2 linked regions of the Danio rerio genome follow. The protein of the gene in region 2 interacts with the protein of the main gene of each other region in a biochemical or structural test. Links are inferred from orthologs where the notes say so. Each region holds a gene or a part of one and is shown on either strand. Other genes may lie near its edges.

Evidence for each region. The genes of interacting proteins can lie anywhere in the genome.
Region 1: the proteins of bmpr2a (region 2) and gdf2 form a complex in vitro, tested with the Homo sapiens proteins (2 studies listed by BioGRID). The link is inferred for Danio rerio from reciprocal best matches to the Homo sapiens genes BMPR2 and GDF2.

Annotation. Positions count from the first base shown.
Region 1 is NC_133187.1:3,040,946-3,049,176, forward strand, and holds gdf2 (growth/differentiation factor 2 preproprotein), read left to right. Parts: upstream 1-3,647; coding exon 3,648-3,972; intron 3,973-6,036; coding exon 6,037-6,881; downstream 6,882-8,231. Other genes in the region: gdf10b (growth/differentiation factor 10), read left to right, coding at 1,036-1,227. UniProt on the Homo sapiens protein: Potent circulating inhibitor of angiogenesis. Signals through the type I activin receptor ACVRL1 but not other Alks. Signaling through SMAD1 in endothelial cells requires TGF-beta coreceptor endoglin/ENG.
Region 2 is NC_133181.1:13,756,866-13,764,670, forward strand, and holds part of bmpr2a (bone morphogenetic protein receptor type-2a), read right to left. Parts: intron 6,392-7,805; coding exon 5,220-6,391; intron 742-5,219; coding exon 467-741; 3' UTR 1-466. UniProt on the Homo sapiens protein: On ligand binding, forms a receptor complex consisting of two type II and two type I transmembrane serine/threonine kinases.

The DNA of each region.
Region 1 (8,231 bases), on a different chromosome or scaffold from region 2:
ACAACAGGAGTCTTGGGTGGGCCGTTTGGCATTTCTGTGTGGAGTTTGCATGTTCTCCCTGTGTTGTTGTGGGTTTCCTCGTTCAGTTTCTCCCACAGTCCAAACACATGCGCTATAGGTGAATTGGCCAGTGTATGAGTGTGTGTGTGTGTGTGTGTGTGTGTGTGTGTGTGTGTGTGAATAAGTGTATGGGTGTTTCCCAGAACTAGGTTGCAGCTGGAAGGGCATCTGCAGCGTAAAACATATATATGTATATGCTGTAATAGTTGGCGGTTCATTCCGCTGTGGTGACCTCTGATAAATAAGGGACTGAGCCGAAGGAAAATGAATGAATGCATAAACACAAAAGAAGATATTCTGAAGAATGGTGGGTAAAAAAAACAGACATTGACATCACATACTATGGAAGTCGATGGATATTTTTTCGAGCATTCTTCTGACTATCTTCTTTTCTGTTCAACTGACGAAAGAAACTCAAACATGATGCGTAAATGATGGCAGAGTTTTCATTAGTGGGTGAAATATCCCTTTAAAGTCTGCATAATCCGGAAGCTGCAACCTTTTTTTGTATTGTGACGCAGTTCCCGGAGAAACAGAATATTAAATGAGAAATGAGTGGGTGTGGTTTTTTTTTTCTACTGCGATCTGATTGGATGTAGTAAAGTAGGCATGCCATTCAGAAAGATGGGGAGGTGGTTTGGGGAGAGTTAATACAACCTTACTGACTCCTCCTGCTCACCATTTCTGTTTGTTGTCAAAACTGACAGCTGGATGGGCGTGGTTAAGTATGCTTGCCACGCCCACTACCTAAGACAGACCTAATCTGGGAATTTAGCTGAAAACGAACAGGAAGTGCATTTTCAGATTTCACTTGAAGCTTACAAGGGTAAACTATTTTTTCTTAATGATATGAGCTGATGAATTGTTCACCACAAAACTAGCAATGCAAGCTAACGCAATCAATCTGTTTAGTTTTGATTTTTATATACTTCACGGCTTTATCCTCCAACCTTGACTTTCTTTCTCATAATGCAGGTTGTCCATCCATCCAATCATGCGACCATCCAGAGTATAGTGAGAGCGGTTGGGATTGTTCCTGGAGTCCCGGATCCGTGCTGCGTCCCGGATAAGATGAGCTCTCTGGCCGTACTCTTCCTGGACTCCAGCAGGAATATGCTATTGAAGATCTATCCCAGCATGTCTGTGGAAACCTGCGCCTGTCGATAAACGAGAAACACTAATGGAAATACGGATAAATAATCTGCAAAACAGTAAACTCTGCTACAGGGACTGCCGTCATATGACAAAAACAAACTCTTATGTCTGCAAATAAGACCTCAACACCTCAGATAATACAGGATCTTTGCACACAAACTTTGTATTTTCTGTCCGCTCTTTCATTTTGAATGAACTGTATATAATCCTTATTGTGACATACTGTAGTTTGCTTAAGGTAAGACTCATTTTGCAACGAATACATGGTGAATTTAAGGACAAAGAGATTTAAATGCATTTCTGTAAATAAATCTGGTAATATTCTGCATTATGTCTCATTCGTGAACATTGGTTGATGTGTTTGTTCACTTGAAAGAATTGTGATTAAACATTTTGTTCAACGTGATTTGATTTTATATTTAAGGGGACCCATAATGACAAGATGTAAAATAAGACACCAGCAAATCAAAATAAAATATTAGTATATGTTTATGGAATGCAGTTGATATTATAAAAAAAATAAACTTCTACTAAAGGAACAGTTCACAAAAAAGTTTCAAAAAAAAGTTCTAAAGTCAGAATTCAGAGTTATAAAGTCGGAATTGTGAATTTTTAGGTCAGAATTCCGAGTTTTTAAGTCAGAATTGCGAATTATAAAAGTCAAAATTGCGAGTTACAAAGTCGGAATTGCAAGTTCTAAAGTCAGAATTCCAAGTTATAAAGTCAGAGTTCTGTTATACAGTCTGAATTGCGAGTTCTAAAGTCAGAATTGCGAGGTTTTTAGGTCAGAATTCCAAGTTGTTAAGCCAGAATTGCGAGTTATAAAGTCAAAATTGCGAGTTACAAAGTCAGAAGTGCAAGTTATAAAGTCAGAATTCAGAGTTATAAAGTCAGATTTCCGAGTTATAATGTCAGAATTCCGAATTAAGTCAAAATTGCAAGTTATAAAGTCAGAATTGCACGTTAAGTCAGAATTCCGAGTTAAGTCAAAACTCAGAGTTAAGTCAGAATTACAAGTTACTAAGTCAGAATTCGTGTTAAGTTGAAATTGCGTGCTATAAAGTCAAAATTGCAAGTTATAAAGTCAGAATTGTGAGTTATTAAATCAGAATTCCAAGTTATAAAGTCAAAATTGCAAGTTATTAAGTCAGAATTCCGAGTTAAGTCAGAATTTCGAGTTAAGTCAGAATTGCAAGTTATTAATTCAGAATTGTGAGTTAAAGTCAGAATAGCAAGTAATTAAATCAGAATTGCGAAGTATAAATGAGTTTCCTGACTGCCGACTGGCCATAGATAGAGTGTTAAAGAACTCGGAAATTCTGACTTTATAATTTATATATATATATATATATATATATATATATATATATATATATATATATATATATATATATATATATATATATATATATATATATATATAAAAAATAATTTTTTTTTTTAATTTTAGCATTCAGTGTACTTCCAGAAATTATCCTCTTTTTTACAAGATCTAAAATAACTCTCAGATGTCTCTAGAGTGTGTGTGTAAGAAGTTTCAGCTCAAAATACCAAACAGATAATGTTTTCTAACTCTTTGAAACGGACCCTTTTTAGGCTTTGATACTAATATTGGCGTTTTGATGGCTGTCGCTTTAAATTCAAATGAGATTGTGCTGTTTTTAAAAAAGGGCGGAGCTACAGATGCCTATGTGTCAGCGTAGTGGCAGGTTCAGAAACAAGACTAACGTACTTTGCTAATAAGGGAGACACAGTCACTACTGACCCAGCCGAGACTCGAACCAGTGACCTTCTTGCTGTAAGGCGACAGTGCTGACCACTAAGCCACCTTGAACCATGGTTATTATATAAATATTTATTAAAATTCTAATAGTTTGGATTTGCCCATTTATTAAAATATATATGTTTTATTGCGAATAAAGACTTGATGAATTGTATTGGAAACAGGGAAGAGGGCGACGGTCAACTTTTAGACCCATTAACCCTTTCCACAACCTGAAAATGAAACCAAATGCAAACTAAAGAGAGCGCTGGAATCTTTAATGTTAATATTTATCATTTCCGAGGCTGATAAGTTGAGACATCCTACACATAAACACAAACAAATTCAAAGTGATGGAGTTGCCTTTATAAAAACAGAGCCTGACCGTGTAAATAAGCCTGTCAAAATCTCACTCATTAGTCGTTCTGGTAGTGTTTACAGAACGCTCATTAACTACGCGCTTCCTCCAGATAACCAAGTCCAAACCACAACATTGGTGTCAAAGATAATAGCTATGCTACTATTTTGGTTTCCAGAGCTTAGCGTGGGGCATGGGAGTAAACCTGAGGTTCACTTAAGGAACCCCGATTTCAAAGCATCATCCACAAACCAAAGTCAGATGTAAAACTTGTTGCTCAAAGTCACTTATCGCTGCAGGAACTAAAAGAAGATGTGGCGCGTAGGACATTTGCTCCTTCTGATGTCCATTGTTTTTAGGATTACCGAAGAGAAATCTTTAGGTGACGCTGGCAGCTTGGAAGATTCAATGTTCATTCAAGAGCAGAAGCTGGTTGAAGACGATGACTTGAACAAGGTGGAGAGTTTCTTAGGCTTTATGAAGGAAGATTTTTTGAGGAAGCTGAACTTATCAGGCGTGCCGCAGGAACACAGAAAGGTTCAGCCTCCTCAGTTCATGATCGAACTCTATAATAGATACGCTTCTGACAAGAACTCCATCCCTCGGTCGGATGTCATCCGAAGCTTTGTCGTTCAGGGTGAGTACACATAAAGAGAGCTCACAATCTCTGAGGCGGATCTGTTCAATATTACACACATTAAAAGAGCTTCTTTGATTGATTGTACCATCAGAGGAAACTTTTCATTAGGTGATATATACTGGAACCAGCAGCGGTGGACAATAACAAGAGTTTTAACTGGATTGCTCACACAAAAATGTTCATTTTACTATCATTTGCTTATTCTTTACGTCAGGGGTCACCAATCTCATTTCTGGAGGTCCGTTGGCCTGCAGGGTTTAGCTCCAACTTGCCTCAACACACCTGCCTGGGTGTTTTAAGTATACCTAGTAAAGCTGCGGTCACACTAGAGTTTGATAATAAAATTCTGTGGTACGACGCTGCGAAAAGGGGCGGGAATAAACAAGATTATCTGTTCAGAGAGGTCATGTTTTGATCCTCAATTGGTCTCACGCAGTCAAGTGATGCGATTTCGCAGGTCAGAGTTCACCAAGCTTGAACTTTGCACCGTAGGAACCTGCGAAACTTGACGCATGACCTTGCGTTTCCGGTCTGACCAACACAATCTCACGGCAATTCGTAACTTTTTCATTTAGTGGCTAATTCGTATGAATTTGTACGATCTAATTCGTACAATTTAGTACGATTTGCTTATCCCCCAATGACGGTTGGGGTTAGGGGTGGGGTTAGGTGCCACGCCTCCTTTTTAAAATCGTATCATTTCGTACGACTGAAATCGTACAAATTCGTACGAATTAGCCACTAAACTGCCAAAACGTTAAATACTTACGTTTTCTCGTGAGATCACGCTGGTCTGACACATTCGCGCGAGTATGAATGGAAGTCTACGGGAGGAAAAGCAGCTTCAGACCTTGATTATCTTGTTCAGGTGTGTTTGATTAGGGTTGGAGCTAAAATCTGCAGGACACCGGCCCTCCAGGAACAAGTTTGGTAATCCCTGCTCTGCGTGCTCCAAAACTATATGAGCTTCTGTTGAATACAAAACTGTGAAGAATGTTGGGGAAAAGGCAGCCATTGACATCCATATAAAAATACTATGAAAGTCAGTTTTCCCCCCCGCAGAATTCTTCAATATATTTATGAAAATGAAGAAAAATTCATGAAAGTTTACAACCAATTTGGTGTGAGGAAACAGTGAATATCCCTTTTTAATACATTATCGAATATCTTTCACAAAAGTTGTTTTGTAAACTTATTTTAAAGCATAATTGTGCTTTTTTTATATTAAAAATATATTTTTTTATTATTTATAACTAAAGAAATTCTCCTGCCGTAATTTAAAGTCATAACAGTGGTGTCTTTTTTCATGAATGAGCTGACTTTTGTCAACACATAATAATCCTTTTTTTTTTTTTTAAATGAACTGCTGATTTTCGTCTCCTTCAGCAATTTTCTGAGAGTCAGTTGTCGATCTTTAGTGCGTTTATTCATCTGCCGTCCCTATGTGGGCGGAGTAATACACAAGAGGCTGTATGAGTGCTGTTATTTTGGAATATCGCATGACTATCAGCCAATCAGATTCGAGAACCAGATAGAAATATTGTAAAAATTACAATAATTATTAAACGCATTTTAATTTTTTGTTTCTTCTTGTAAATTTTAAACTATTACTGGCTATCAAAATGACCAGAAATCCAGTGAATTTAAGGGGACTTTTTTTTTTAAAGTGTAATATTGAACATTGGCGGCATGGTGGCTCAGTGGTTAGCACTGTCGCCTCACAGCAACAAAGCCACTGGTTCGAATTACGGCTGGGTCAGTTTGGCATTACTGTGTGGAGTTTGAATGTTCTCCCCGTGTTGTTGTGGGTTTCCTCCGGGTGCTCCGGTTTCCCCCACAGTCCAAACACATGCGCTATAGGGCAATTGGATAAACTAAATTGGCTGTAGGGTGTGAGTGCATGTGTGTTTCCCAGTACTGGGTTGCGGCTGTGTAAAACATATGGCGGAACAGTTGGCGGTTGAGTAATATTTTTTTGGCCTCTCTTATCCTTTTCACAAGATCTTTAACACATCAAATTAATGGTAAAATTCACTGAGCTCCCTTTTGTCTACTCTACAGATGTTATTTATTCCATCAGACAAGGCAACAAAACCCAACACCGGCTGCTATTCAACGTTTCCATCCCAAATCACGAAGAGATTACCTCAGTCCAGCTACGTCTGTTCACTCTCTGGCACAGACATAAACCCGCCTGCGACGATCTCTTCACATCCATAAACGTCTATGATGTAGAATACGAGCAGAATGCTAAAATATTACACCTTCTGGATGGCAGAGACGTGAGAGAGTCCATAAACACGTGGGAGGCTTTTGATGTGACCGGAGCCGTCAGGATTTGGCATGAATCTAGACGTGGGGCTGGGGAAATTCAGGTTGAAGTCCAACATAGCTGTGACTCCTTCGATATAAGTCTGAGTCTAGAGGACAACAGCTCTGCGGTCGTCATTGTTTTTTCTGATGATCTCGGAAACCGGAAGGAAGAGTCGATGAGGAAGGTTAAAGAGATGCTTGTGCGTGAACAACAGCAAGTGGGAAATCAAGCTCCAGTGAGCAACCGACACCGCAGGAGAAAGAGGAAAGCAAAGAACAATTATTGTCGGAGAACTTCCCTCAAGGTCAATTTCAAAGACATCGGATGGGACAAATGGATCGTTGCGCCGCCGGAATACGACGCTTATGAGTGCAAAGGTGTGTGTTATTTCCCTCTAACTGATGACGTTAGCCCATCCAGACATGCAGTCATCCAGACACTGGTTAACCTCAGCAATCCAAAGAAAGCAAACATGGCATGTTGCGTCCCGACCAAGCTGGACCCAATCGCCGTCATGTACCAGGAAAAAGGCGTCATCACCGTCCGACATCTCTACGAGGAGATGAAAGTTGCAAAGTGTGGCTGTAGGTAGTGTTTGGATGCATCTGTATACATGTATATAACATATATATATATTATGTATATCGTTATAAATATATTTTTATTCCTATTGAAATACCTCTTAAAGGGATAGTTCACCCCAAAAATTAAAAGTCTGTTTAATTTGTTCCAAACCTGGGGTGCGTTTCCCAAACATCGATGTAACTCGTGGCTAAACTATCATAGTACGATGCATCATTTGGGAAAAGAACCAGCCTAGGCTGGTTGGCTGGTTTTAGCTGGTCGACCAGGCTGGTTTTAGAGGGGTTTTGGCCACTTCCAGGCTGGTTTCCAGCCATTTCCAGCCTGGTCTTAGCTGGTCAGGCTTGGAGATGACCAGCTAAAACCAGCTTGACCAGCCAAGCCAAGCTGGGAGTCCAGCCAAAACCAGCTATATCCAGCTTAAACCAGGCTGGTCAAGCTGGTTTTAGCTGGATTTGGCCGGTCATTTTCCAGCCTGACCACCAGCCTGGTCGACCAGCTAAAACCAGCCAACCAGCCTAGGCTGGTTTAAGCTGGATTTTTCAGCAGGGATGCATAATTTGGGAAAAGAACGATGTTTGTTTCCCAAAACTCGTAGTTTCTCTTTTGCAGATCTATCGTTTGAACATACAGTAACATTATTTATCAACATGTGGCTCTTTTTGGATTCTTGGACTCTATAGACATGAAAAATGCAAACAGGAAATACGTTGAGACCATTGTTTTTGTTTACATTTCTCAAAATGTTCTATATTCCTACCCTAAACTGTTTAAATAACCATAAGCAGATATTTTTAATTTAATGAAGCAATTGTCATGGTTATTGGTTTATTAATAGCTTGAGAATTGTAGCTTAAAGTGTAACCAACATTATTTTAATGAAACAACGATTGTAGAGGTTAATGTCAACATCCTTAATGTGATCAAAATGCTATTTTCACTTCAACATGTTGACTACATGAGAATATACTGCAGGGGCATTTCAAGGATTCAGCATCTGGGACACAGATCAAAACATCAGGCCTGATATTTCTCCTTAGAGATCTTTTTGTTTAACATTTTGATACAGAAACATACTTACACATGTATGCAAAAACAGATGTGGATGCTTGGCCAATGCATACTGTACATACTAGTCAAAAACCTCAAGGGGGCGATAGAGTAACAGTACTGTTCAGGTAGAAGGGAATATCTACGGTACAAATTAGTAGCTCTCCTGAAACGGTTTTTCAGATGTTTTCCAAGCGCTGTCTAAGAGAGCAAGGAAATTATTAATGCTAGCATCTTGCAAAATAACTAGTAAAGACGAAAGAAATTAATTAATGGAAATTAGTTATTAAAATTATTATGTTTAAAAATG
Region 2 (7,805 bases):
GAAAACAAAAACTGCAAAAAACGTACCTCCTGGGAAGTATTTTGCGCTCTCCAGAAATGTAGACAAGGGTACGTATCCACAATAGGTTGGAAACTTCCCTACATCACTATAAGGTTATAGTTTTGTTATGTTTCAATAATTAGACTTTTAAAATTCCCTGATATTTTCAGGATATTTTCCATGACCTGGGGAATGTGACGTTGGTTTAAAAAAGAATAAATGACCATTTTGAATGGTCAAAATGATTTGATTGAGAACTTCTAGCAAAAAAAGTGCAACAAAAAGTGGCTTGATTAACACAAAAACGAACAAGAAGATGGCTGCATAGCTCTTTACAATATAAAGTCAATAATTGTCTTACTGTGCTTATGATTGGGGTTGAGTTTAAGACATGTATATGGTTCAATCCACTAATGTCTCCAGACCTTTTTACAGAGTTAACAAGGATTTACCCTGTTTTTTAAGTTCAAAAGTCACAGTCATTAGGATCTGAGAAGCGAGATCCTCCTCGACTGCCTAGATAGACAGCCGAAGCTGATTTAGGTCTGCTGGTCCCAGCCTGATTCTGATTCTGCCCGAGGCCTCCTCCGTGACGACTGTTGTTGTTGACTTCGGCATCCAGTGTGTCAGTGGTGATAACCCAGCTGGCAGGACGCCACTTCTTAAGTGCGTAAGGCGTCTTTACCCGCTTCTTGATTTTATCCCCTGACCCCTCTGTCCCATCGCCGACAGACCTGCCTCCTGTGGGCGAACCGAGAAGTTACATGATCATGTTTCTACGGCTAAAACAATGGGCCTCATTCATGAAATATGAGCAGAAAGAAATTATGTGTCAGTTGCTCAGAAACAAAGTGGTTTTACAAACAAAAAGTCATTATGATCATGTTTCAGCTATGACGCTCTGGCAAAAATGCCTTTGGAAAGTGTTACATGCCATCATAGATAGTCTACATAATATTTTAGACTGTTATGATAGCCACACTGCCAGACTGTGTCATTTAAACTCATCTTATGTGTGTGTGTGTGTTGTAGAGAAGGTGCATATCAGTAAAAACATTGCTTCCTGACCATCAGCTGCCATTTTTTCGTGATGTCATCAAGATACACAGTAAAAAATGCTGGCTTCCACACAATTCCTTCATGTTGTCAACTAAGTGAACTTAATTGTTATTACAAGTGTAAGTGGATTAGACATAAAACAATTAATTTGTCCTGAAAAAAAAATAATTGTGTTTCAACTCATTTTAAATAAGTAGTTTGAACGAAGCACAAAAAGTCATTTTTGAGTGTAGAAATTCAAATCACCAGCGATCTAGTCCATACAGATCGCTCAAGAACTACAAATCTGCCACCAAAAGAACTACAAATCCTCATCATCATGTACCACACTTACACCTGTTCTACCTGTAGCATTACGAAGCGTTTCTCCTTGCCTTCCTGTGGTTTGATTTTTTGCTTTGTTGATTTTTGATGTTAGCCGAGTAAGCCTCGAGTCTTCTGTAACATAAGGATGCTGACAACGGAGGTGAGAATCCAGAGACTTTATTCAGACAGATAATGGTCAGGCAGGCAAGGGTCGATTACAGGAGCAAACAGAATTAAAAATGGCAATCCACAAAGAGTGCCCAAAACAAGGCAAGAGATCTGTACAGGTGGCTAAAGTTAAAGATTCATAATGTTACAGGTGGAACAGGTGTGAGTGTGTGGTGCATGACAGGATTTGTAGTACTTTTGGTGGAAGATTTGTAGTTCTCCAGCAATCAGTATGGACAAGATCGCTGGCGATTGTGACACTTTATAACATACTACACTTAACAAATTGTCCTCTATAACATATAAAGATGTGTGTCCACCGAATCGTTTCTGCGCAGCTGAAAACACCTGTACTCTGCCAAAAACTGGCTGTGAGAGCATTTAAAAAATGCTGAAAACCATTAGCCAAAAAGACACAACACATGCTAATACTTCTGGTCTGTTAATAGGTGGCAAAAAAGACCAGACGCCTCAATGCATGTCAATGGGAAGAGGCCTCATTATTCTGAATGAACAGCTTTTGAGAGGAAATATCTTGTCGTTTAATGAATGGACAGCCTGTTCGCTAATCTTCAAAATCTTTTATATTAAGCAAGATGTTCATGGTGAACCATATGTATAGTTTACCCTGATAACATTTCTTTTTAAGAAAAGGCAGTGAAGGGAATGACTCGAAAGCTAGGACTCATTTATTTATGACATTACAATACAATAGTATGTGGTTCTATCTTTGGTTTTAACGTTACCTGAAACTAGACTTTAATAGGAATATTGTAATGACAACTATGTTTAGCATAAACCTGATTTATACTATCTATAATGTATTTGAATGAATAATAGGAATGTTTTAATATTGAGTGAACACTGAATTATATTCTATTTAAATAAATAAGTGTGCTATTTATATGGCTTTCACACTTTAAGCGATTCGAAATGTAATGAATTGTATGACTGCTTCTTAGGGCTGGACGATTTGGCCTAAAATCAAAATCTCGATTAACTAAACATTTTAACTCGGTAAACGATTATCTAAATGTATTTTATTTTTTGGCCTTTATAGTTCCCTGACAAGTTTTGTACAGTAAATAAGCTCAAATATTACAAGCGAGAGATTTCTGAATGAGGGGTGCATTACTTGATTATAAAATAATTAAAGAAAACACACACTATCTACTATCTATGGTTATTTGATTCAACGTCAAACAACTGAAATTAAAACACACATTGCCTACAACAGTCACTCTTTCTTAAAAAAGCAAAAATAATAATAAAAAAATAAATAACTAAAAAAGTATATATATATATATATATATATATATATATATATATATATATATATATATATATATATATATATATATATATATATATATATATATAATATTATTGTTTTTCTTATTAAAAGTAGAAAATAAGCAGTGTCTCTTCTAAATAAAACAACTATGTATATCCTGTGTATAATGTTTTAAACAATGCATATCTTGAATCTTGTGCAAACATATATTTTAATGTAAATAATAATTTTTTTGTACTGGAAAATATGCCATCTCAAGATTTTTTTGGCACGGCATCCAATCATCGCCAATGTAGTGTAAACGTGCAATGTGTAATTACATTTTTTAAAGAGGTGCGCAGGCATACGAACTCACGAAGGCTGCGCCAGACCACACCCGTGCATTCGAAGCAGAAGGATAAATCAGAGCGGGGTCACATGACTCCACGGGCGTTAGGGAAAGTAATTGAAAAAATTTACTTGAAAAAATTTGATCGATTATAGGTTTTGAATGACGATTTAGATTATTTTTTGATTAATCGCCCAGCCCTACTGCTCCTTATGATGATGATATCCGCTTGTTAAGTGGTGACGTGTTGGTGACGTATGTAATACTGTTTCCGGGTCCAAGCTGCCACTCATTCGAGTTGAGGAATTATTTGTTTATGATCACTTTTTATTTATATCACACATTAAAGTTAATTTTATATAAAGTCATAGTGTACACAACAATCTCTGCTTAACAAATTTCAAAATTTAAACAATTTATTAAAAAAAATTAATAACTTTCTGGCCATTGGATATTAGGCATGGCCATATATATTGCGATCGTGATTTTCGAAAGTATTAAATCGCTTTGTAAACGTTTATTATTACCATTTCATGAGTCTCCCCATTCAGTTGAATAGAGCGTTCGGACCCGAAAGCAGCTTCGTGTGACGTCACACTTAACAAGCGGATAATAAGGGTAAAGTATAAATAATTTTTATAAAATATTCTTTGTATGGCTTATTTGTATTTTATTTTAAGCTAGAATTAAAAAATAAATTAATAAAATAAAAAAGTCAATATTTTTAAAAATATTTTTTTTAATTGGCTAGAACAAGCCAGTGTTGTCCAATGGTTTGCCTAATTAAGCTAGCTGGCCCAGTTAACCTAATTAAATAGCAATTTAAACTGAATGCTAGTATCTTGCAAAAGAACTAGTAAACTGGCAAAGATTAAAGTTATAGTTTTTAAACTTTTATTTTGAAAAATGTGTTGAAGAAATCTTCTCTCCATTAAACATTCATTCATTCATTTTATTGTCGGCTGAGTCCCTTTATTAATCTGGGGTCGCCCCACCGGAATGAACCACCAACTTATCCAGCACATGTTTTACGCAGCAAATGCCCTTCCAGCTGCAACCCATCGCTGAGAAACATCCATACACACTTATTCACACTCATCCGCTTCGGAAAATTTGGTCTACCCAATTCACCTGTATATCTTTGGACTGTGGGGGAAACTGGAGCACCCGGAGGAAACCCACGCGAACGCAGGGAGAACATGCAAACTCCACACAGAAACGCCAACTGACCCAGCCGGGACTCGAACCAGCGACCTTCTTGCTGTGAGACGACAACACTACCTACTGCGCCACTGCGTCGCCCATCCATTGAACAGCACTTGGTAAATACAGTGCTCAGCATATATAAGTACACCCCTCACAAATCTCTCTTTTAAATTCATATTTTATTAGGAAGCTAAACAATATTATATTTGTGCATATACATTAGATTAGTCAGCACTGAGAACAAATCTGGAGCTTATTTAAAAAAAATAACTTACGAAAAGGGTCCAAAAACTAGTACACCTAAATTTATATGGTACAGAAAAATATTAAATGAAGTTTAGTTGAAACTTTGAAGGTTGTAATTTTTTTTTTGCAATATTTTGAATTTAATTGAATTATCTTTCTATTTCTAAATATGTTTGCTGACTAAAATATACTTTTAATTAATAAATCTGTTTTGTTTAAATGCACCTAAATACATTGCCCTTATTCACTGAGAAATGGAGCAAAATATGCAGAAGCATTGTATATGAAAAAGATTAAAAATTTCACAGAAAGGTTAATAGTTTTGTCTTCAGCAGTATATAAAATTAAATAGTTAAATGGAGTATAAATAGCATTGTGTATAAAGTATACAATGTTTTTTGCAACATTTATCTTTATAAACGTTATTTAGATTAACGTTTAATCTTGCATTCAATGCCAATTGTCATTTACAAATCCTAAATCAGCTGAATCACTGTTTAATCAGAACCAGAATCAGAACTGTTTTACAAAACCTCTTTGGTCCCACAAATAAAAAAAAAAACAAGTAAATTGCACTTAAAATGGTAAAATTAGCTGAAATGAGAATCTCACCTAGTAATGGCAGTGTTGTGATGGACAGATCCAGAGAGTTGGGTCTCTCTGGTCTGCGCACTCGGTTCTGTCTGAGCAGAGCCTCTCCGTGTGTCTGTGTCTGGCTTTGGGCCTGTGGAGGAATGGCGGTTGAAGCAGAACACGGGCCAGGCAGCACAACCGGCTCCACCGTAGAAGACGACGAAGCATCCCCTGTCGGACCGACACTCTCATTGTTCTCTCCTCCCTCTCCTCCACCCTCTGTCTCTCCATCACCATCTCCCTCACCATTGTTGTTATTGCTGTTGTTGTTGTTTGCATTGTCAGGATGCGCCTCTCTTCTCAGCAGAGGCTCCTGCTCATCGGGACTGGTGTTTAAGAGGCCGAAGGTCAAGTCCTCGTTGGCTGAACTTCCTGCTGACTCGGCTGCTGGTTCTGTTGCATATTTATTCATTGCTGCCGCCGCATCGTTGTTGGCAACTGTAATCAGCCGGGCTTCATGCGTCGCATTCACCACACTGCTTTTAGCCACACCCATCTCAACCTTCTTCAGATTTGACTTTCCAAGCTTTCCGAACTTCATCCGCAGCGATGAAGACGTCGAGGTGGATGTTTTCCCAGGCTTTACGTGGAGACTGAGGCTACTGGGTCTCTTAGGGACGTTCTGCTGCTTAGGTAAGATGGTTATAGGGGTGTCCCCATGCCTACTGGATCCTTGTGACCCCGAAACCTCAGAAACCATCTTCATGAGAGGATAAAACGGGCCGTGGGAGGCTGACGTTTCAGGAGAGCAGAACTGTTTCTGTGAATGTTCCATAAGGCTCTCGTCCGAGCTCTCTCTCATGTTCCTCTGGACTTCGCTCGGGTCGAGTTTTGGTATCTCCAGGTCTTCTCGTGTCAGCTGAGCACAGAGATTGGTGGCCACTGGTGGAGGATGCGTGGCATTGCAGGACTCTGAGACAGGAGTAGCGGAGGAGCTTTCTGTGCCAGACTGTCGTGATTGGGCCTGCTGCCACTCATAGTTGATGCAGTTCTTTTTCTTCTCTGCGGGATTAGTTCCTCCTGCTGAGGTTTGCTCCACTGAGGTGTCATTGTGGAGTGGTTTATCAGCACCTTCATGGTCTTCAGTGTTTGTGGATGAGTGTTCAAGGACAGAACCTACTTTAGGTGTCTGCCTTCCAGCAGAGAAGTTCCTACAAATGTTATATTGCATTGGTTAAATCAAATGAGGTGAAGATGTGTATAGACTTTTAATTAAAACAGATGGATTTCAATATCACGGAACCAAGAATTAAAAAAATTGATCAAAGAAATGGCAGGAAACATGTCAAATGGAAAATATCACATATACTGTCAAAAGAAAACAACAACAAACTATGTAATATCATCATAATAATAATAGTTTCTTACATTTAAATAGCACTTTTCTGGACACTTAGGGTGCTTTCACATCTGTAGTTCGCTTCATTTGGTCCGGACCAAGCGCAATAAATGATACATTGTTGCATTTTCTGCCGTCTTTGGGTCGTTTTTACACCACACTGCTGGCTTTGATCCGAACCAGTTGAAACGAACCAAAATGCAGTCATCTGACAAAATCCACATCTCTCATTGGCCAGATGTTGTTGAACATATTTCCTAAATTGCTTATTGATTGGTCACAATTCACGTGCGGGAAAATGCCAGTGAACTCCCGCAGGTAAACAAAACCTTTTACTCTGGAGGGACGACTGCGCTGGCTGATTGTATCCCTGCTTTAGACAAACTATACATTACGAAAATGAAGCGCGGCCGCGGCTTGAAAACAGTGTTTAATGCGTCGCTCGTCACTTCAGGAGGAGGCGTAAATTAATTTAGCTAAACTGCAACATGGTCATCTTGCGGAAATATTACCAACGATCCATCAGGTAATGTTTTCCCCTCTCTCTCTCTCTCTCTGTTGGTAAAGCGCTGTCAACAAATATTTTTCCTCCATATCCCATAATGCACAGCGCATCGGCCTACGGCAGCTGAATTAGTCCAAAACGTTGTTTGAAAGCGTACCGAGACCACCTCTTCAAGCAGGTCTCGGTACGCTTATTTGGTCCGCTTTTGGTGCGCACTCGAGTACGATTGCTGCATTCTCACCTGCCCAAATGAACTGTACCAAAAGGGGAAACGAACTCTAGTGCGATTCAATCGAACTAAATAAGGCAGGTGTGAAAACACTCTTAAAGCGCTTTACACATTTTTGGCGGGAATCAACCTAGATGTCACGACGCTAGCCATATTACGCCAGACCGCCCACCACACATTAGCTGATTGGTGGAGAGGAGACAGAGTGATGACGCCAAGTGATGAATGCAAGGAGAACATGCCTACTCCACACAGAAACGCCAACTGATCCAGCTGAGGTTCGAACCAGTGACCTTCTTGCTGTGAGGCGAGAGCACTACCTACTGCTGCACTGCGGCACCCAAACTTTCGTACTGCACCTTTAATTAATTACCTGTGACCAGACTATTATTGATCAGTGACTTTTGGTTGTCAATAACATGTGGTTGAACATTTATTATGGGTCATTGATTACTTGTGTTTGCACCATGAGTTGTCAGTGAGTATAGATTG